3 linked regions of the Rhinolophus ferrumequinum genome follow. Each later gene encodes a partner of the first gene's protein in a complex. Links are inferred from orthologs where the notes say so. Each region holds a gene or a part of one and is shown in the gene's direction. Other genes may lie near its edges.

Evidence for each region. The genes of interacting proteins can lie anywhere in the genome.
Region 2: TBP (region 1) and TAF9 share a complex: the UniProt entries of both Homo sapiens proteins name them as parts of the TFIID basal transcription factor complex. The link is inferred for Rhinolophus ferrumequinum from reciprocal best matches to the Homo sapiens genes TBP and TAF9.
Region 3: TBP (region 1) and TAF1B share a complex: the UniProt entries of both Homo sapiens proteins name them as parts of the transcription factor SL1/TIF-IB complex. The link is inferred for Rhinolophus ferrumequinum from reciprocal best matches to the Homo sapiens genes TBP and TAF1B.

What each region holds. Positions count from the first base shown.
Region 1 is NW_022680354.1:3,019,470-3,026,645, forward strand, and holds the start of TBP (TATA-box-binding protein), read left to right. Parts: upstream 1-4,151; 5' UTR 4,152-4,460; intron 4,461-5,955; 5' UTR 5,956-6,098; coding exon 6,099-6,152; intron 6,153-6,914; coding exon 6,915-7,176. Other genes in the region: PSMB1 (proteasome subunit beta type-1), read right to left, coding at 1,848-1,960. UniProt on the Homo sapiens protein: The TFIID basal transcription factor complex plays a major role in the initiation of RNA polymerase II (Pol II)-dependent transcription.
Region 2 is NC_046290.1:44,820,456-44,827,438, reverse strand, and holds the start of TAF9 (transcription initiation factor TFIID subunit 9), read left to right. Parts: upstream 1-3,979; 5' UTR 3,980-4,006; coding exon of another isoform or gene 4,007-4,034; intron 4,035-5,900; coding exon of another isoform or gene 5,901-5,993; intron 5,994-6,794; 5' UTR 6,795-6,811; coding exon 6,812-6,983. Other genes in the region: cell cycle checkpoint protein RAD17, read right to left, coding at 1-60, 636-893, 2,172-2,275, 3,197-3,239, 3,549-3,572; AK6 (adenylate kinase isoenzyme 6), read left to right, coding at 4,007-4,034, 5,901-5,993. UniProt on the Homo sapiens protein: The TFIID basal transcription factor complex plays a major role in the initiation of RNA polymerase II (Pol II)-dependent transcription.
Region 3 is NC_046296.1:65,800,269-65,807,553, reverse strand, and holds the start of TAF1B (TATA box-binding protein-associated factor RNA polymerase I subunit B), read left to right. Parts: upstream 1-4,281; 5' UTR 4,282-4,504; coding exon 4,505-4,522; intron 4,523-5,852; coding exon 5,853-5,951; intron 5,952-7,285. UniProt on the Homo sapiens protein: Component of RNA polymerase I core factor complex that acts as a GTF2B/TFIIB-like factor and plays a key role in multiple steps during transcription initiation such as pre-initiation complex (PIC) assembly and postpolymerase recruitment events in polymerase I (Pol I) transcription.

The sequences.
Region 1 (7,176 bases):
AGCCCTTATATGACGTCTAGCACTCAGTAGACACACAAATAATCTGCTGAAAAATGAACAGAAACCAAACTTCACTTTGTGGCTATGCGATTTCCGATGGCTGTTTACTGCAGAGGCCTAGAGCACGAATTCCAAAGCAGACTGTCTGGGTTCTCATTCTGATTCTCCCACTCGGCAGATATGAGACTGCGGCTAAGTTACTTAACGTCTCAAGGCCTCACTGTCCACATATGTAGATCACAGGTCCTAACAGTAGATACCTTAACAGGGTGTTACAAGGATTAAATTAGTTAATAATTGTAAAGCCCCATACTAGTGCCTGAAACATAACTGGTCCCCTTTAGTTAGCACCATGGTGGCATACGTACCAGGCAGTATGGCGACCACTGAGAACCTAGGCTCTGCAGCTACCTAGGACCCAATCTTGCCACTCACCTATCTCTGTGACCTTGGACAAATTATCCAAGTTCAGATCGATGACAATAACAGTTTCTGTATTACAGGGTGACTGTGAGAGTTAAATGACATAATTCATAAAAGCCCCAGCACAGCACCTCAGAGAACAGAAAGCACTCAGAAAACTTCCTTTTACCAGAGGTGGGATGTGCACTAAAGTTCTGAAGTACTAAAGGATGGTATCCCAGACACTATGGACAGTGACTGAAAGGAAATGCGTAATAATTCAAATAATACATTCAAACAACTTATTCAGGTATCCCTTTATGTGTAAGGAAGACGAGGATCATAAAGCTTATGTAATGGACAGGGATCCGATTGTGGAAAATGCCAAACGCCAAACTAAAGATTCTGGAATTTTAGTGAGAAACCACAGAGATCATATGAGCAAGAATGAGAAGAGTTCCATTTGCAAAGTGGAGTTTTAAGAAGACTACTGGGCCAGCAACACGGCAGCAACTACTGGGACAGTATGTGAAATGGGATGGAGACACTTCCAATAAGACTAATGCAATACTGTGTTTCCCCGAAAATAAGACCTAGCCAGACAATCAGCTGTAATGCGTCTTTTGGAGCAAAAAGTAATATAAGACCCGGTCTTATTTTACTATAAGATCAGGTCATGTAATATAACCATAATATAATATAAAAGACCAGGTCTTATATTAATTTTTGCTCCAAAAGTCGCATTAGAGCTGATTGTCCGGCTAGGTCTTATTTTCAGGGAAACACGGTAACAAGTTAGCAAAGAAGAGTCTTACTTAAGATAAAGCTGGTGATAAAAAAAAATACAACTTAAATGTAACATGCAAGAACGTAACATTTTAAAAGGCCCCCTCCTGAGTATTTTTTCCCTGAACTTAAGCTAAACCTTAAAAACAAGCATTTATCTATGAAACTAAGCCTGGCCAACTAAACCTACTTTCTATTTAAAATAACAGAAACGATTACCAAGCGGTTTGATTGGACCTTTTAGGTACAGACACAGCTATATATATAACAGCAAGGACCGAGCAATGCTAACTTGGTAATTTCAAGCTAAGCCTGCCCCTCGCCTGCGGCATGAGGAAGACGACTAGACCGTTCAAGAAAGGCTCGGTCCATTTGTAAAGGTCTTCCGGACCAGAGGCCGGGTTTCGATTTCTATCTGCTGCCTCACTGCGGCAGAGGGCGAGCGGGCAGTGCACACATGGCCGTCCACAGCAAGCCCCAAGTGGCCGGCCGCTGAGGTGCAGCCGGGAAGACTAAGACTGACGCGAGCAACCCACGGAGACCCAGGTCTGCAGGACGGCGGGGCAGGCATCGGGTCCGCCGCGACCCCCAAAGGCTTGAGCAGGGACGTTGGGGTGGGGGGGGTGCGAAAGCGAAAGGGGCGACTCGCCGGGCCTTACCCTCCGTTGAAAGCGTAGGGCGAAAAGCGCAGCTTCACAGGGCCCGCGACGCTGTGAGGCTCCATCGCCAGGTCTCTGCCGGGGCCCGAGTACACGGCTGGGGAGGACAACATCGCTCGGCAGCCGCTCCTGCTGTCTCACGGCGAGATGGTGGCCTCAGCCGGAAATCCGCCGCTTCCGGCTGTTCCGCGGTGCTCCTTCCCGTCGTTCCGTGTGGCACAGATGCCCAGCTCCTGGAGGTCCGCTCTGCAGCCTGGCTGTGGGTAGAGGAGCGCCCCGTATTCCGAGGAAGCTTACTGAGATGTCACGGCCTTCTTTCCTAAGAAAACATTCAAATTCACTCCTGATGGACAAAAATTTTTAAATCTGACCATACAAAAAATTTGGCAAAACTGTGGAGCAACGGAAAGTCGAATCCTCTATTGGAGTGTAAACGGGTACAAGCACATTTGTAAAAGGGCAGATGTACACACCTTAGGCCCCAGCAGTTCAACTCTGAGGTATACGCTCTACCCAGAAGACCCGTGCAACAGCGTTCATATAGCATTGTGCTTAATAGCCCCAAACTGGAAATGAGCCAAAGGTCCATAAACAGCAGAATGGATAACCCCAACTGAAGGACGTCACAGCAAGGAAAATTAACCGAGGTTAGCTCTAAGTATGAGTCTTATAACGTTGAGCAAAAGAATACATACTACCTCACTTAGGAGTACACAGTGAGTAGGAGGGGCCTGCTTGGCTGAGGTATGGGACTGGGGTTCTGGTGCTGGCAATAGTCGCTTTCTTTATTTGATTTATAACTATCCTGTACAAGCGTTTATTCACTTCCTCATATGAAAAATCTATTTTACAATTTTTAAAATGTTATGTTTTAAGAAGCAATTAAGCAATTGGCTAATATATGATGGACTACTAATATATACATGGAATTCTGGAACCAGAAAAGATTTTTGAAACTACTTGTTTAATTAAAACTCTCCCCATGTTTTACTGCAAACAAACAAAAAGGATAAGAAAAGGACTTTCTTTGGTTTGGTTATTGACAGAGAAGCATTGTATTTATTCAGGTACTGTCCTGGATAGAAAACAATCTATATAACATTCCCTATCCTTAAAGGGGCTCACAACCTCACTGAGTATATAAAATACAAAGGAAGCAAAACAATAAGCAGTATGAAGGGGTTCAGAACAAGTCTTCCCACAATGTGCCACTTTGGCATGGGGATTATTTTGAGCCGAAGACAATGGGGACCCAAAAGACTCAGGAAAAACTTTTTACCTCTCCTTTAACTGCCTAAAAGAATGTAGCTAGATGGCCTGGTCCAGGAAGAGAGAGATCACCAGAGATAAATGCAAAGAGTATGAGCCAGGTGTGGTGGGCTGGGGGAGCTCAGCAGGGCCTGCTTGTTCAACATCCTCTCTATGTCCCATTGTCTCTTCCATGGCATGGCAAACATTTATTTATCAAACCTTTGCTCTACCCGTCTTCCTCAGAGTTCTCTTCCTTCCCTTTGAAACCACAGATCCCTATCCCCTTCTCCTTAGCTCAGGATGGCACATAAGCCTCAAATGACTGACTGCCAGGGAGCCTCTTATTGTCCCATAATAGTACATAATAAAATTTGTTCATCTCCTGTTATTGTTTTATGTCAATTTAATGAATAGAACAGCCAAAAGAACCTATAGTGTAGAGGAAAAATTCTCCTCCCCTATAGGTACAATATATGATTATGTCTAAATGAACTGTAGAAAGAGATAAAGGTACTCTGGGATCTAAACAAGCATCGGGAAGCTAATAAACAACTATGGACAGTCTCATTGAGACAAATGTGAAAAAAGAGCATAAGATGGTAGTAGCAGAAGTAAAATATACTTGACTCTGTAAGCCAGGCTGTCTGCTTTTGTTTTTCTTATCTTTTGACATGTTTGAGAATAGAAAGCATGCACTGACTGAGTGCTCATCACGTGCCAGGCACGGTTCATGCTTTTCCTTATTCCATCTCTCAACGTCCATTGAGGGCAACGTCTGCTATTAGTCCATTCTGCAGACCAACAAACTGAGGCAGAGAGCCAGGTAACTTGCCAAAGGTCACACAGAGAGTCGCTTAGAAAGTCCACATTTAAAAATCTGTATCTCGCTCTCTTTTGCACGTAGACGGTCGGCCGGAAGGTGCGTGTTCCCACACCGCTGTGGCGGTTTTGTATTCTTTTCCCGAATAATCCTCTTTTTGATGAACTATCTAAAATATAATAATAATAAAATAAATAAATACATAAAAATCTGTATCTCGCTCCTTCCAGCAACAACCAATCAGAAAACGCTCCGGCCAGGCACCCTCACCCCGGAAGTCCTGAAGAGCTCCGCCCCGCCTCTCAATACCCTTCAACCGATCATCCCAGGAAACACAGGAAGTGACACTACCCACACTTCCCATGGCCGCCGCTCCAGCGTGGGCACCTCGCTGAAGCCAAGGGCTGGACTGGCGGAAGTGACAGTATAAACGCGCGCCAACGGTTCAGTAGGGTCGGGAGGGTGGCCGGGGCGGGCGCTGGTGCCGCCTACGGCTTAACTCCGTTTTCGCGGGCGGGTAGTGTTCTCTGCAGTGACTCCAGGTAACAGCCCTTTAGCCTCTTCTCTTTTCTGAGGGTTGTTCAGAGGCGACCACTGCAGCGAGGCCCCGGGGCGATGGCGGTGGGAGACGCAGGTGGGCGCGCAGGCCGCGCGGGAACGTGCCTCCCGCCCGGGCCAGAGCCACTCGGCCTGTACCGGCCGCCCACCCGCCGATTCGCCGGCTGCCCTCTGCTGTAATTCGAAAGCGGCTTTCGGCCGTACGAGCGTGGGGTGCCGGGCGCGGGAGGAACCCGGACTGCACGGTGCCGCGCACCAAGCCCCGGAGTTCTCCTGTCCTGCCATCGTTTCTCCTGATGTGGGAAGGCTAAGGACTACATCCTCTTCATCTTTGTATTTGCAGCACTTCTGTTGTAACAGCAGGATTAGTGTCAAAAGCGTATAACCGTTCGTATATCTCTGACATTTTCTGAGGCAGAGTTTTCATGTTTATGATGATCTGTCAGTAATGAGTATGTAGCCCTTGGGGTCCTTTGTCCTCTGAAAGTGGTTATCAGATTCTTTCATTTATTCCCGAAATATCTGAGTGCTTGCTTTGCAACTGCACATGCTTGAAGTGAATGTGGGTTTTTGACTTTCCACATGTAACTAGGACCTGTAGGTCTGTGTGAGAACGTCTGATCAGGTATTAATGTTTAAACTGAAATCTTATGATAATAGCACACATTTATCCTGTGCTTCTGTATGATAACTAGATGCTGTTTGTGACGTATTAATCAGTTAATACTATTTGATTCAATCAGTTCTCACAACAACCCTGAGCAAGTCAGGGGTCCATCTGAACTAAACTGAACAAAAGGTCTTTCAGCAGCCACTTGGTTCTTTTGTCTAAAACTAACTTCAAATGTTTAGCCAGTAAAGAGTAACTTTAGGAAAGCCAGACATAAGCACACTTTGTATTGATGTGTTCTAAAGAGGTAGTTATTGCACGAGTAAAAACATGGTCTTTTAATTATTTTTATGTCTGTACTACTTCTTAGTGTTTTATTAAAGTAGCAGTTCAATAACCGATAGACAAAAGTGTATTGGACTCAAATTAAGTATTTATTGAACTTAACGCCCAAACTTTGAAGATATAAAATTGATTGGAATACTTTAAAACCTGAACTTAGCCTAATAGAGTTGTGTAAACGGTGTTAATAAATCTCTCTACTCAGACATGACAGTTCGCTTAGGAATTTTTCTCTGGACGTTTTCCCCCCCAGAAGTTTTCAGTGCTGATCACGACACCTTAAATTGTAATATTATGAGTAATTAAATTAAACAGTAGCAAAACAGTTTTTATTTCTGTTGGCGATTTGGCATGCAGTCACAGGAAACATGGAAAGAATAAGATTTCAACATTATTGGTAAAAAGAAGTGTATTCCAAAATAGCTTGAGTTTTGGGGTGTGGGGGGGATTGTGTAATCATGAAACTGGTTTATAAGATTGTATAATGTACCTGTATTCTTACACTAAACTTCATTCTGTCCTCCAAGCAGCATCAGTGTTCCCTGGTGTGCCTGAAGATAGAGAGTTGAACTTGCTGAGAAGAGTGTGCTAGGGATGCTCTAGGAAAAGCCTGAACGCTGAGGCGAGCTCCAGGCCCAGGTGTTGATTTGCCAAAAAGAAAGCAGTCATCATGGATCAGAACAGCAGCCTGCCACCCTATGCTCAGGGCCTGGCCTCCCCTCAGGTAACACAGCGGTAGGGGGTGCAGTCCAGCTGTTCGCATTGTCAGAGAGAGTATGGAAGGGAAGGAAGGGAATGTAGCAGTCTGTTGTGGAAAATGGATGTATAAAGTTACCACGTGACCTAGCAATCCCACTGCTAAGCATTCACCCCAGAGAAATGAAAACACAGTATACACAAAGCCTGCACACAGATGTTTACAACACCTTTATTCATAATAGCCCCAGCACGGAAACACCCCTAATGTCAGCAACTGGAGAATGATTGTCACTGTCATTGCTAACATGTCAGTGTTTTCTATGTGCCTGTCATTGTGTTGGATGCCTTCAGTGGATGTCTCTAGCGTAACCATAAAATTTATCATCCAAACTGAGACAGATCCTCTTTGAGAGTGTGACGGGGAACCACCCCAATGGTAAGTTAGGATAAGAGTTTAAACAAGGATGTGTGCTCACTCCAGTTCTCTCCCTTATTCTTTCTAACGACCTTCACATGTTACTATCCCCTAGAATGCCCGAATAGCTAAGCAGCTTGTTCAGGTTCTCACACGTGGTAAGTAGCAAGCGTGGATGGCACAGCCAGGTCCAGTTCCGAGCCCTAAGCCGTTCCCTGCTTTGTCGTGTAAAGAAAGGGGGTGCATAAGGAGCAGGTTCCTGTCGCCATGCTCAGGGACCTGTCACACTGGAAGATGCCCGTCCTTCCCCAGGTGCGTCCTGCACACACCACCCAGCAGCTGGCCTGACCCATTTCCTCCCGCCTTTGACAGGGCGCCATGACCCCAGGAATCCCCATCTTCAGCCCCATGATGCCGTACGGCACGGGGCTGACCCCGCAGCCGATCCAGAACCCCAGCAGCCTGTCTGTCCTGGAGGAGCAGCAGCGGCAGCAGCAGCAACAGCAGCAGCAGCAGCAGCAGCAGCAGCAGCAGCAGGCAGCGGTGACGACGGTGACAGCGGTGACAGCCGCAGCACAGCAGGTGGCGGCCCAGCAAGCAACTCAGGGTGCCTCGGGCCCCACCCCGCAGCTTT
Region 2 (6,983 bases), on another chromosome or scaffold:
TTCAGCTTTTAACCAGGTTTCAACTTCTTCAATTTTCTTTTTATGCACAGCAAGTTCATGCTAAAAATATCAAGTTTAAAATAAAACATTTTAACTGAAGGATTTTTGGTACATCACAGATTAATCTAAACATTTTTAATGAAAACACTAAAAAACAAACAAGAAAACACTAAAAAATAAGTAATATGATATAGTAATAGAAAAGGTTGATTACATTTAATTTTTTCTATTGTTATGAAAAAAATGTTTGTAAGCTGACACTATTGTACGAAAACTACTGGGCAGGTTTGGAATTATACGATTTTTTAAAAATCCTGAAATATATTTTGGGAAGGAAATAAATAGGTATTACATTTAGCAAAACACACACACACACACACACACACAACAAAAAAAACCCAGATTAGATCAATTCTATGTTGGGTTAAGTTTAATCTAAGATAAATACAAATAATCAATTGTACAACTTCAGAATAATTGCTGAGAAAATCTGAGCCTTGGGACATAAAAAAAGACACTGGTTTTTTTCTAATTCATTTAGATAAAAAGAATTCTATGAGTAATAATCTGAAAGTGTACATCCCTCTCCTTTATGAAACTAAATTACATAGACATGTTTACATGCTATTTATTACCTGACTTTCTGGTTTGTACTTATCCACCCACGGTTCATTTTCAGACAGATATTCTTTTGAATTTTCTAGACCATAAATGTCTTCTGAGGAAGATAGTTTTCCTCTTTTTCTAGTTGGAAATCTGCTACTTTCTAATGGGGACGACAAATTGTTTCTTCTATGACTTGAGTTTTTCACACCCAATGATGTGGCAGTAATAGTAGAAATGCTTGTATTCTCTGAAAAATCATCAAATGATGGGTCTACCCAGTCTGTTACCTGAAAAAAAGAAATCATGTAAATACTATTGCATTTTTTGCATCTGTTCCCTATGTAATTAAACTGTGTACAAAAAATGTTTGTATATTTGCAACATTTAAAACAAACATCTCGCAAATTAGCTCTTTAAATAGAATTGATGTTATATGTAATACTTATATTTCTACTTTACAGTAAATACAAATGCATACTTGTCTACTTGACCTTGGTAATGATGAATACCATATAAAGGAATATAAGATATAAACTTAATTCTTTTTATCAATGTAATCTTCCCACGATAAAGAATAGGCTGATTCTTTTAAACTTGTTTGTAGAACTGAAACATAAATATTTAAATTACCTACCAAAAAAGAAGCAAAACAAAGAAACATTATTTTACCCATGTACAACGAGAAAAGTAACACTTTTGCCTTCACCAGGTAATACATTACATTTCAATACATCCAAATAATCCCTAACAGCTTCAAGACTTTGTGAGGATATAGTCTAAGACTCCTGATGTTATGAATAATTTGTTAATATGACTTAATTATATTCACTCCTCTTTTAAGGACACAGGGTTAGAATATTATCAGCAGTGGGTAAAGAAATGAAAACTTCTGGGAAAAAATTTGGTCATAGTTACCCAATTCGTCTCCTTCTCTTTAAAAGACTGTCACTATTACTATAATTTTGGCCCTTTTCCTCAATTTTTAAGAGTATATAAAAATATTATGTGTGAATAACAATTCTGATCTACATGTTACTTATATGTTTTATAGTTTTATTTCTTACATAAATGTGGACTGCCATTTACTGAAAAAAGAGAGAAATGGCAAAGTTAAATAATTTACTTAAGATCAGAGAAAAATCAGACAAACCATTAGGAAAATAGCTACTTTGCATATGAGGATGATACTGTCCAACTCTACCTTCATCCTACTCTACCCCCTAACCTTGCTGAGAACTGGCACACTGAACCACATGATTTCTAAGAGGCAGAGCCTCTGTTAAGCTTTAACACCAAATACAATTCATATAGTCCTTTCTTCTACTGCTCTTTCAAGAGTTTTCAGCATTTTCTTTTTGATTGGGATTGCAAATGACTTTTCAAAATTAAGGTTGTACTTTTAGTGCAGAGCTGTTTCATAACTTATTAGACTTTTTAGATCACTAATTAGAACAGATACTGGCACCATTACTTTGATAGCAGTAATAAATCATTAAAAACATGTACAAAAATTTTACTTTTTTTTTTTAAGGCAATTATTACAGGACAATTTTAGTGTATCATACCTTTGTGGAAGATAGCTTTTGTCTAAGAAAAGGTTTTGACATTATAAACTTTAATAGTTCCCATCCGTAGTATATAACCTGTAGTACATTAAAGTATAATTCACCTGGGGGGAAAAATTCTCAATTAAGAAAAACTGTAAAACAGAAGGACAGTAATTAACATATGGGATATAATCAACAGCATAAGAAGGTTAAGGCTCAAGATGAGTGAAAAAGAACTAAGTGAAAGAGAACTGAGTAAACATAGGTGAAACAAGAGTCAAATGCTAAAATAAATTTTAATTTTAATGGCTATAATTGTCAGTCTATTCATGGTATTATAAATGTAAATTATTTGATACGAACTCAATAACTAGAGAAAACGGAAAAACCACATATTTGTGTACCTACCTTTTGTCATTAAGGAAAACTAGACATTCTATTTGTGTAGTTTTTATAGGAAAATTTAAAATTTCCCTTATTTCAAATTACAGTTGATTACAAATTTGTAATTTTGTAATTTGGCAAATTACAGTTGCCAAAATTTCAACAAAAACACTCCACCATACAATGAATTCAGACTTTATCACTCACTTTGGACAAAGATTTTAAATCTTACTGTAAGTTTTTCCTATAACTGTTTTCCTTATTTGAACATATTAGGAAATTTTTTGGCAACACTATATTTTCCGACTTTCATAATTCTTCAGTGTTTATACAAAACTAGTAAACTCGCCAATTTTAAGTTAGCCAGAGGAAAGTTTTTTTAAGGTCTATAAACTTATAAATTGGGAGGTCTATGGGACTTTTTTTTTAATAGCGTGGAGGCACACATAATGTGTAAATACTTCCACGTACTAGAAAACAAATCGTACACATACAGATACAAATCGTTCACGATTAGAGTTTTTTTGCTTTGGCGTTTCAAGAGATACATAGATGTTAAAAACATTGAGTACATCTAGCTGGCAGGTCGAAGTAAAAGGCACAGACTGTCGCTACGGCCAGGAGTCCAGTCGTTCTTTCAAAACAAGACTGACAATTACCTCCTTTAAAAAGCAGGTAACCGTCCTTGACGATGCCAGGGTCCTGAAACGAGACGTCAGAGGTAGAAGAAACCTTCGAGAATATTTCTAGCAGACCCACCACCACCCTACACACTGAACAGGGGTTAATAAGCTCAGACAGTTGTGCAACGTAATGCTGCTCATCAGTGGAGAGCCGAGATCCGCTCGCTTGCGCCGGCTCCAGGCCAGAGGTCTGCACCCCCACCCTCTCATCGCCAAAGGGGATGGGCAAGTAGGAAGGAGGAGCGACGAGACCCCGGGAAGGCGTGCAGGCAGAGATGGACTCGCATCACTAGGACATATACTGCAGCCGCAGCCGCGGCGGCCTTACTTGCGGGGAGCTGCATGACCTCATGCGCGGAGAGGAGCGAAGGAACCCAGGTTCTGCTCCAGTAGAAGGGAAGCCACCAGGTCTTACCCGGGCTCAGCCCCTAGCCTCTCCGAGGTCCCGCCTCACGGGACCTTCCAGACCCATCGGCCCTTCCGCGACAGAGCCCGAAGGGCGGAGGCAGCCAAAGGAACAAGCGACTTAGGCATCCAGCGCACTGCCTGACCTGAATTGCGGACCCGAACTGTGTCCCTGTCTCGGACCCTGAGATGGAATTGTGTCATAGAAGGTCAGATAACCAATGGTTGGTGACTAGAAGGCGGAGATGGGTCGCGAGCGCCGTGCAGGATCTTGAGGACCCCGGGGCCACTGGCGCTTGCCGCGGCCCGCTCCTTCCGGCTCCAGCCTGTTATACTTAGGTCTCGTGTGCCGATATTCCCAGAGCCGTCGCGGGGAGGACCATGTTGCTTCCGAACATCTTGCTCACCGGTCAGGGCGCGCGGCGGGGACGGGCTGGACGGCGGGGCAGGCCAGGGACGCTGAGTGCACTGGGGCCTCGGGCGCCCGAAGTGTGTGTTTGTCACACACACAGCGGGGGCGCTCACATATTCGAGGCCAGTCGAGGGCCTCGAGGCGTGGCAGTTGCCAGGGCCTCGAGATGGGGCCCTCGCGATCGTAGCAGGAGGCGGCGGGGGGGAGGCGGCGGGGGGGAGGGGAACGTTCGTTCTGTTGGCCCGAGGTTGCTCGGTGAGGTGGAGAGAGGTAGACCAATCTAGTTCCCCTTTCTGGCATGCTGCCTGCTCTTCCTGAATCTGGTTTTTGTTTCTAAAATGGATGTTGATTCTTTATTTGGCAGGGTTTTCTTTGGCTTTTTGCGATATCTTGTAAGGCAGTATTTGGCCCTTAGTAGATCTGTTACTGGTGGATGCCTTAGTCGTTAGGCCTTACCTGGCCGTGTTTCATTTTTCCTTTGTATCTGAGAGTCAGATTTCAGTAAAAGGGCTCAGGTGTTTGTGGTATAGGGTGATTAATTTGCTATATATGTTTGTTGAGTTAATGCCAGAGGCTTTTTTCTTTTCTTCCAAGAACAAAAGGCATCTACTGAGCATCTCGTCGTTTCTTGTGTAGAGATGCTGAAAAATTCCCGTGGGGGCCCTTCTGGGTCTCCCGGCCTGTTATACGTGAGGAGTACTGAAATGCCGCATAACGACTTTAAAGAATGTTACTGTTTGTCGTTTAACTCTGAAAATGTTTATTAAATTGTAGCAGTTAATAGCATCATAGGGCATTCATTGAAGAAAATCTAATGGTTATAGGTGCTATTACAACACAGAAAAATTGAGACACTCTGGAAACAAAGCAATAAAGTTTTCATCATTTAACAAAACATAAGCTTGTTGGTAGTGCACAATTTCTGTTTCTGAGAGTTGCAGATTAACCTCTCAACAAATTAATGTTCAGCCTTTAAGATTCCTTAAAAGGAAGATTTTACGGCATCTGAATTGTTTGGGTCAGACAGTGTCCTGGATTTTGATATTAAGGCATATTGTCAAAAATCAAGGTGAGCATTTTATTGAAAACCTGGTAAGTCCAGGGTTCAAACTTGGTGTATTATAGTGGACTTAAGGTAAATGTTATTGTCTTGTATATGGAGACTTGATTTATCCCTGTTATCTTGGATTGTAACGATCAAGTTTTATTATTTCGGTGACATTAAACCCAAACAGCCTAAAATTATGCATTGATGCATCTTGAAATACAATAGATAATAAAAAGGGAAAGTGAAGAACAATGTGTAGCGTTGCCATTTATGTAAAAGGGAATGTATGTGTGTGTATGTGCACATAATATGTATACATATATGTACACATGCTGTTGTGTATACATATACATGAATGTGTACACAAACACATACATAGGACTTCGTTGGAAAGATATATAAGGAACTGGTTTACAGTGGTTGCCTCTAGGGAAGAGTACAGGGGATCACAGGTGGAAATGAGATTTGTCTTTCATACTTCTTAGATTTTTTTCCCGTGAATAATTTCTTAATTTTTAAAAAATTAAAGCGAACAAGGATATTAATTTATGTGGGATGGCTAATTTTACTCTGGGAATGTCCATAGTGTTGGCAAGCAGTCTGAATTGGCATCAGAATCACCCAAGCCACACTCCTGATAGAATCAGATACACTGGGTGAGACTTGGACATCCATCATGCTTGGGGTGGTTATTGTGTGTGTTAATTCACATGGGATTGCTAATTAGGAAACTTCATTTCAGTCATTAACCTTAAGCGGGGCACATAGCTTACTAAAGCCTAGTAAGTATTTCATGAACAGTATTTTTCTTACAGGTACACCAGGGGTTGGAAAAACCACGCTGGGCAAAGAACTTGCATCAAGATCAGGACTGAAATACATTAATGTGGGTGATTTAGCTCGAGAAGGTAAGGGACATTTTGATGTTAAATTTGTTTTTAAAAAGAGAGAGTGTGAGAGACAGATAATGGAGTATTAGTACTATCCTTGAGAGGGTACAACATGCAGAGAAAGATTGCCATTAAGGAGTTATGCTCTACTGGGGATCCATAGAAATCATAAGCATTAAGTGTCTAAAGCTATGTCCTGGCTATTTTGACCATTACATTGCTCCCCAGTTGACTAGCAGTTCTTGTGGACAGTAATAATTGAGGTTTTCATGAAGAGATTGGATTTAGGATAGGTAGAATCTGAATATGAAGAAGAGGGACAATGTTTGGAGATGGGTCAACACAAAGGTTTGGGTGGTGCTGAGGATGTCTTTGGAGACAGTGTTATATTGATCTTACTGGAAGGACAGATTATTTTGAAATCAGACAGTAGAACATGACTGTCCTGTGGTATTTTCTTACATTAATTTGATAGTTGCATGTCTGCATGCAACTGCACATATTCTAAAATATGTTTTTACTTATTTTACCATTTCCCCCTCATCTTTTATCACTCCCTTATTGTGTCTTTATCTTTGTTTATCTTATAATTGTATCTTTATTCTATAATGATTTCTACAGGGTAGAAACTCAATAAATTTAAGGGAACTTCTTAAAGTGTGCCTCATTAAAATTAAAAAGATTTAACATATTTTTAAAATTTAAATATGTTTTGAAAAATTTAACGTATTTAAAATTTTTTAAGTTCCTGACAGTTGCTACTATAGTAACTATTTCAGGTTTGACCTAATGTACGTATTTTTTTCAAATGATCTGAAGTCTGATCACCGGATATCATGGAGTCTGGCAAGATGGCTTCTCCCAAGAGCATGCCGAAAGATGCACAGATGATGGCACAAATCCTGAAGGATATGGGGATTACAGAATATGAGCCAAGAGTTATAAATCAGATGTTGGAGTTTGCCTTCCGATATGTGACCACAATTCTAGATGATGCAAAAATTTATT
Region 3 (7,285 bases), on another chromosome or scaffold:
GTGGCAACGGGGCCTTACCCAACGCTCTGACCCCGAGGCCCATGACTCTACCTTTCACCCGTTACCCTCCGGCCACACTGGCTTCCTTTTGTTCCTCAAACACACCAAGTCCAGACCTGCCTCAGGCAGGGTCTTTTCACTCTCCCTAGGACTTAGCCCCCCAGGCTCTCACTGCATTGTCATCTTGGCTCAACTGATCCCTCTTCAGAGAGGTCTCTCTGATGACCCTAAACAAACTCTGTTCATTTCCCCCACCTGTCACCCTATATACCTACCCAGCTTTAAAGCATTTATCAGTCCCTAAAGTTACATTTTATATTTACCTGTTTTCTATCATTCTGCCATGAGAAACATGGCTGAAATAACAGATGACAAATACTGTTGCAAAAACTGTTGGAAGGTGTAGAAAATGCTGAAAATTTAGAAGAAACAAGTATTAGAACAAGAGACACAGGTTTGTAATTTGAAGGTTTGTGATATAGTTGGATAAAATATAGATATTTCTAACAAGTCCCTGTTCATGAGGGTCTCTAGGTTCTGTGTCACTAACAGCATGTAGAAAAAACTACTTTTGAGGCACCATTAATGGGAAGAGGCACCAGGGAGCAGCAGATACTCTGGGCAATAAATCATTTCTTTTATAAACACAATATTTTGTGGTAAAATTGTGTTCATGTAACCACGGAGGATTGTCTGCTTTGAATAAAATAATAAAGAACTCTGAGACAAGACTGTTGGCAGTGTGCTGGTTGTAACCCATCCACTGCCTCAATCACCAGCAGGAAGGGCAGCAAAAGTTGAGTCCACACATTGCTGCAGAATACCATGGATGTGGTTAATTTTATACACACAAGACCTTTCAGACGCCATGGGACTGTTACCGTAATCTGTGTGAGCTGAATATCTGTGAAAGTCCTATGTTCCACACAGAAGGTTGTTGATTATCTCCTGGCGAAATACTCAAAAAGACCTGTCAGACTTGTGATAAGTTATCTTTTTAAACAAAAAGGCACATATTCCTGCCATGACAAGTGGCTGTCAGCAGTATACTACCTAGCAGATATTTTCCAAGTTGTGGATGCACTTAATTTGTCCCTTTGGGGCAAAGGGGATGTTTCAACAAAGTAAGCAGCTGAATGGCTGGGTGTGTTGACTGGCCTTATCTTTATATTTATGATCACAGATGTCCAGGGCCCCCTAATGCTCCCTGACAATTTACTAGATTTCTGATATAACTCTCCCATTTCCAAGGGATATTACACCTCTGCTCTCTCCTCAGACCTTGTACAACCCTCCCACTTCCATGCTCGGCAATGGCTTGCGTCGTATTTCAGGAGGAACAATCAGAAGAGCCCTCCACCTTGTTCCCACCAGTGCCTGCCTCTGACTCCAATGCCTCCCCTTCTTTCCTGGTTCTGCCACACACGAGTTGCCCATGTGGATCCATCCCCTCTCCCCAGTTCAGTGACAGACCCCTAAAATCATTCCCTCTCTCTTTTGCACCATCATTTTTCTCTGAGAGTTCATTTCTATCAGCTTATAGACATCTTAAGCAAGCAAAGAGACAAAAACAGACAAACACATAAAAATCTCCCTGATTTTACATCACCGACCGGCTACGGCTCCTTTGCTTCTGTCTACAACCAAATCCCCCACAAGAGTGGCCCACACTCTTCCACCATTTTCTATTGAACTCACTCTATTTGGCTTTTATCCCCAACAATGAAGCCACTCTTGTCAAGGTCACTGATGACCCCATTTCCCAACCTGGTCATTGCAGTTCTCAGGAGCATGTGACACAGTTGATGGCATCCTCCTTTTGGACACACTCTCTTCACTTGGCTTCCAGGAATCCACACTCTCCGGACTTTCCTTCTATCTTGTGGGCATTCATTCTTAGCCCCCTTTTGTCAATCCTCCTTTGTGGTCCCGACTTCTCTATGTTGCAGTGCCCAGGTCTCAGTCCTCTCTACACTCATACCCTTGATATTTTATCCAGGCTCCTGCCTCCCAGTTACACATCCAGTGGTTACTTTTCCCCTGAACATCAAACTCGTGTATTGCACAGCATACTTAGCATCGCCCTTTGGATAGCGAATAGGCATCACTAACTTAAACATAAACCCAACTTTTACATCTGAACTCTATCATGAGCCTACACCAAAGTTTCTCCCACCTCAGTACATGGCACCTGCATTCTTAGATAGGATCAGACACAAAACTTTGCAGTCATCTTTCACTCCTCTCTTTCTCTCACACGCCACATCCAACCCATCAGGAAAGACTTTCTGCTTATACCTTTGAAGGTGACCACTCCTCATCAGCCTCACCATGCTCACCCTATAACAGCCCACACCTGGGTTATTTCAGTTGCCTCCTAAGTGATCTCCCAGCTCCCCCTTCGCCCCCTTCCAACCTATTCTCCATAGCCCAGAGGAAACCATCTAAAATATGAGGCAGCTTCTGTCACGCTTCTGCTTTCCATCTTACTGAGGATGAGCTCTGATGTCCTTACTACAAACCACAAGACTTGAGTCATGGCCTGGCCCTGGCCACCTCTCTGATCTCAGGTCATCTACCACTTCCTGGCTTATTAAGGACCACCTTACTGTCTAGGTCCGGAGTGCTAATCCCCCAAACATCTGCATGACGGGGTCCCCCATTTCTTTTATGTTTCCTTTCAAATGTCATTTTTATTTGAGAGGCCTTTCTATCTTCATATTTTGATCTCCCTTGGTGATCTCATCTAGCCTCTTTAAATGCCATCTAGATAGAGATAACTTCCAAATGTTTACTTCCAGTCCAGAATTTGCCTCTGAACTCTAGGTTCCTATATCCAATTGCCTTCTCATCCTACCTGGATGTCCTCTAGATAGCTCTAACATAACAAGTCCAAAATAAAATTCTTAATCTTCCTCTGTCCCACTCTCAAACTGTTCCACACACAGTCCTACTCAGTGATAGCTTCACCCTTACAGTTGCTCAGGGCAAAGGTCTTGACATCATCCTTGACTCCTTTCTCTCTCTTATAGCGCACGTCTTGTCCATCGAAATATCCTTATGGCTCTACCTTCAAAATCTGTACTTCCAGGTTCTGTCTACTTCTCACTGTCTCCATTGCCTTTACCTGGGTCAAGTTACCATTATAACTTGTCTGGATTAGGCTATTAGTCTCCTGACTTGTCTCCCAACTTCTGCCTTTGCCGCCTAGCACTCTGTTCTCCCCACAACAGCCAGACTAATCTGCGAAACATAAGTCAGATCATGTAACTCCTCCAGTGGCTCCCCCAATTTCTCCAACTCAAATTCCTTAAAACCGTATTTTGCCCCAACCACATTTTCTTTTTTTTTTTAATTAAATTTTATCGGGGTGACAGTTGTTAGTAAAGTTACATAGATTTCAGGCGTACAATTCTGTATTACATCATCTATAAATCATATTCTGTGTTCACCACCCAGAGTCAGTTCTCCTTCCATCACCAGTCAAGTTCCTTAAAACCATATTTTGCCCCAATCACATTTTCTACTCTTCCTTTAGCTCACTGTTCCAGCCACTTACTGACTACCTTGCTGATCCTCAAATGATATGACATGAGGCTCAGGGCACTGTCTTTACTGTTCCCTCTGACTGGAATGCTGTTCCCAACTTGGCTCTTGCTTCCTTGCCTTCAAGGTCATCTTCTCAGTAAGACTTTTCTTGACCACCCTATTAAAAAGTGAAACCATCTGATAGCTCCCATTCTCTATCCTGCTTTCTCCTTGGTACCCGTCACCATTTATCATACCATGTATTTCCTTATTTATTTTTGTCTCTCACCCCCAAAAATATAACCTCCATGAAGGCAGGGACTTTTGTTTACTTTGTTCACTGCTGAATCCTCAGGGTCTAACGAATAAATCAGGGAATGAATGTGCCCAATGAAGGCACACTAAAAGCTAAATTTAATGAGCACTTACTACGTGAGGCTCAATTAGAAGGGACTCATAGGTAATAGCTAATTTTTACAGAGAAGGAAACTGAGGCACAAGGAAGCAGAAAAGCCGTGATTAGAAACCCAGGTCTAACTCAACCTGCATTCTTTCCTCCAGGACCCTATGTCTCTCCTGTGCTATTAAAAGACAGTACGAAGTGGAAGGTGCCAGCGGTCCGAGAACGTGGGCCTCCATCGCTTCTCCTGCAGCCTGAATCAATACGAGGGTCTTACTGATTCAACACCGGTTGGATTAACAGCTTTCAAAGGAGAGCGTGAGGGATCAGTTCCGTATTAGGCACCGCCCAGTTTCTTACTGGTTGGTTTCAGTTACCTCGACCAGGAAGGGGATGCTGTCTGGGAGAGGGATGCAGGATTTGCGAGCTTCTCCCCAGGAGCCTTCCCGGCAGCCGTAAGGCCCGGAACCCAAAGTCAGTGTCTCAGTTTCCCCCCGGAGGGCTGCTTCCGCTGCTCCCGGAAGCTGCACTCGCTGCGCTAGTAACAGGCCGGGCTGTGTCGGAGGCGGTACTGTTATGGACCTAGAGGAGGCGGTGAGCGGGCCGTGAGCCGGGCGGGTCGGGACAGCGGGGCGGGAGGGGAATGAAACTGAGGAGAAGGGGTTGGAGGACGCGGACACGCTGTGGGTGCGGCCCCAGGCCGAAGGAGGGCGGGGCGGAACGCTGGGGGGCGGGGAAAGGAATGGGGCTGGCGGGCGTGTGAGCTTGCGATTTGGGGAAAGAGGATGGAGTTTCTGGCAGGATGGGGTTGTGGGTGAAGGGGGAGCGGTATTAGCCGATATGGGTGTGTTTCAGGAGAAGGACGAAGTTGTGGGTTTTGTGGGGTGGCCACCCGCGTGGCTCATCCTCTCTCGAGAGGACCACCTACAAGTTCCCTTTGATGTTGGGGCGGGCGAGGGAGCGCCGGCGTTGAAACTTGAATGCCCCCAAGTAACCCCTGCCAGTCTTCGGGAATCCTCGCCACCGTTTGGTGCAGGGATTCCAAATTCGGTTGTGAGGACACTCCAAGTATTGATAGTTATCAATAGGGGGTTAATAAAAACTTGACTAACTTGTCGAAATAAATTTGACATTCATTTTCCACATACTACATAAAATGCCGCACTCTTTATTAAAGGAGTATTCCATAATTAGATCATAATTAGATAATAATGTCAAACACCAAAGAGTTGGAAATCAGTAATTTAGGAACAGTCTATGTATGTATAGAAGAATGATAGAAATAGAAGGCCTTACTTATTGTGGATGCTCAATAGATGTGTATTGAATGATGGATGGGTAACATCTGTAAATGCTGAGTTAATGTCATTAATCATTATAACTCACCATCAGCCTGTATACCTATGAGTAGGGATCCTGTCTAGTTTGCTCACCACTGAATCCCCAGCACTTAAATTCCTGGTACTACATAGTTGATACTCCTTGTATTGCTGAATGAATAAGTTGAAACTGGAAACAACCCTAATAAAAATCTGGTTCCTTTGTAGCGAGTATGTGTTTAGTGTCCTGGAGGAAGTTACAATGTATGCTGTTTCTATTTTTAAGTCTTCTCTATACTTAAACCTTGTCATCTTTTTTCATCCTAGCATTTTCAAGTTTTATTTACTCACTTTTTTTTTTCCATTTTACTCCTACCACCTTTTTCCCCCCCATTTTTTCCCTCACACACTGCATATTTTAGAAATTTTAATTCCATTTCGAACTGCTCAGGAAACCGAATCTCTTTTCTCCCCATTTATAGATAATCTCTCTGATATGTTTTCTATAATTTTTAATGTATAGGGTAAAATTGCAGGGAACCCTGTAGTAGAATTGCAGGCTTTAGGGACAATGCATTGAATGTGGTTTTCCTCTTGTCCTGCAGAAAGAATTCAGAGAACGCTGTACTCAGTGTGCTGCTGTCTCTTGGGGTCTTACTGATGAAGGCAAATATTATTGCACTTCTTGCCACAACGTTACAGAAGTAAGTAACAAATCTCATGTATAAATTTGCTCATGTTTTAAAAATTGCAATTTCAGCCTGATATATGTCATAGTTCCTAAAGAACTGATCTATTTTTAATCACTCATGCAATGCCCAAATTCCAAGAATGTAAATAGTCTTCAAGTGCTTACACAAGGGTTAAGGAATTTGTAAATTAGATTTAGAGTGAGTTTTTGAAATTATGTTGGGCCGTTTATATATAAATGATTTCCAGATTCAGACAGTATAGTCTAAGGGGGAATAATTAAAATTGTATTTAGAAGATGATGCATTTCTTTTTATTAGTTAATACTTATTTAAGAGTTTTTAATGTGTCGTGGTAGCTTAGAGGTTTGGAAGATGAAGTGTTAGAAAGATTGAGGACTGTTGAGAGTATTGGAAATATGCTTCATTATTATTTTTCTTCGTACAGTACCTTACAGATTACCAAGTCTTTTCTTACCCATTATTGAATTTGCCCCTTGTAACAATAGTATTTGAGATATATACTATTATGCATATCTATAGACACAGCAAGTAGGGCTCACCAGTAGAATGAGTTTGCCAAAGTCACACAATTATGAAGTGTTGAGCCAGGAATCGAACCTGAGTCTTCTGAGTTGAGTGTTCATTTTACCCACTGCACCTGCCTCTTAAAATAGAGATTGTCATACTGTCCTATGTGGCATTGGTAAATGAGGTTACCTTCACCCGGTGGGGGGCTAGGTCCTGTTCTGGTTACACATCTTCAGGAAAATAACCAAAATAATCAAGGGTATGGACAGCCTGCTGTTGGACAGGCTAAACATGCCAGGGCTCTTCTCTGGAAAAGGATTTGCTCAAAGTCTACAGAGCCAGGAAGGAACAAATATTACCTTCACCACATTGGCTTAAGAAAGGCAAATTTGGGATAGATGAAAGTAACTGTGTAGACTTCTGCTGCTGGCCAAGATGGAGTAACAGGCACCCGATTTACCTTCCTACCATAAATAACTAAAAACATGGGAAAATATATGAAACAAGTAAAAAAATATTTTCCCTTGAGAAAAGTGGTTAAGTTAGCTTGCAACTCAGTCACACAAGAGCTTTTCCTTTTCGATGACTGAGATAATCATTGTTCTGTCTGCAGTAGCAATTCTTATGTCCTTCCCATTTAGTCACACAGTATTAAAAATATAAGTGCTCATTCAATGAAATGGTTGGGGTGATGGATCTGTTTATTTTCTTGATTATGGTGATGGATTCATGGACACACACACACACCATATTGTATACTGTAATATGTGTAGTTTGATCCTCTGCTTTGATGCATGTTAAGGCAGACTGGTAGTTTT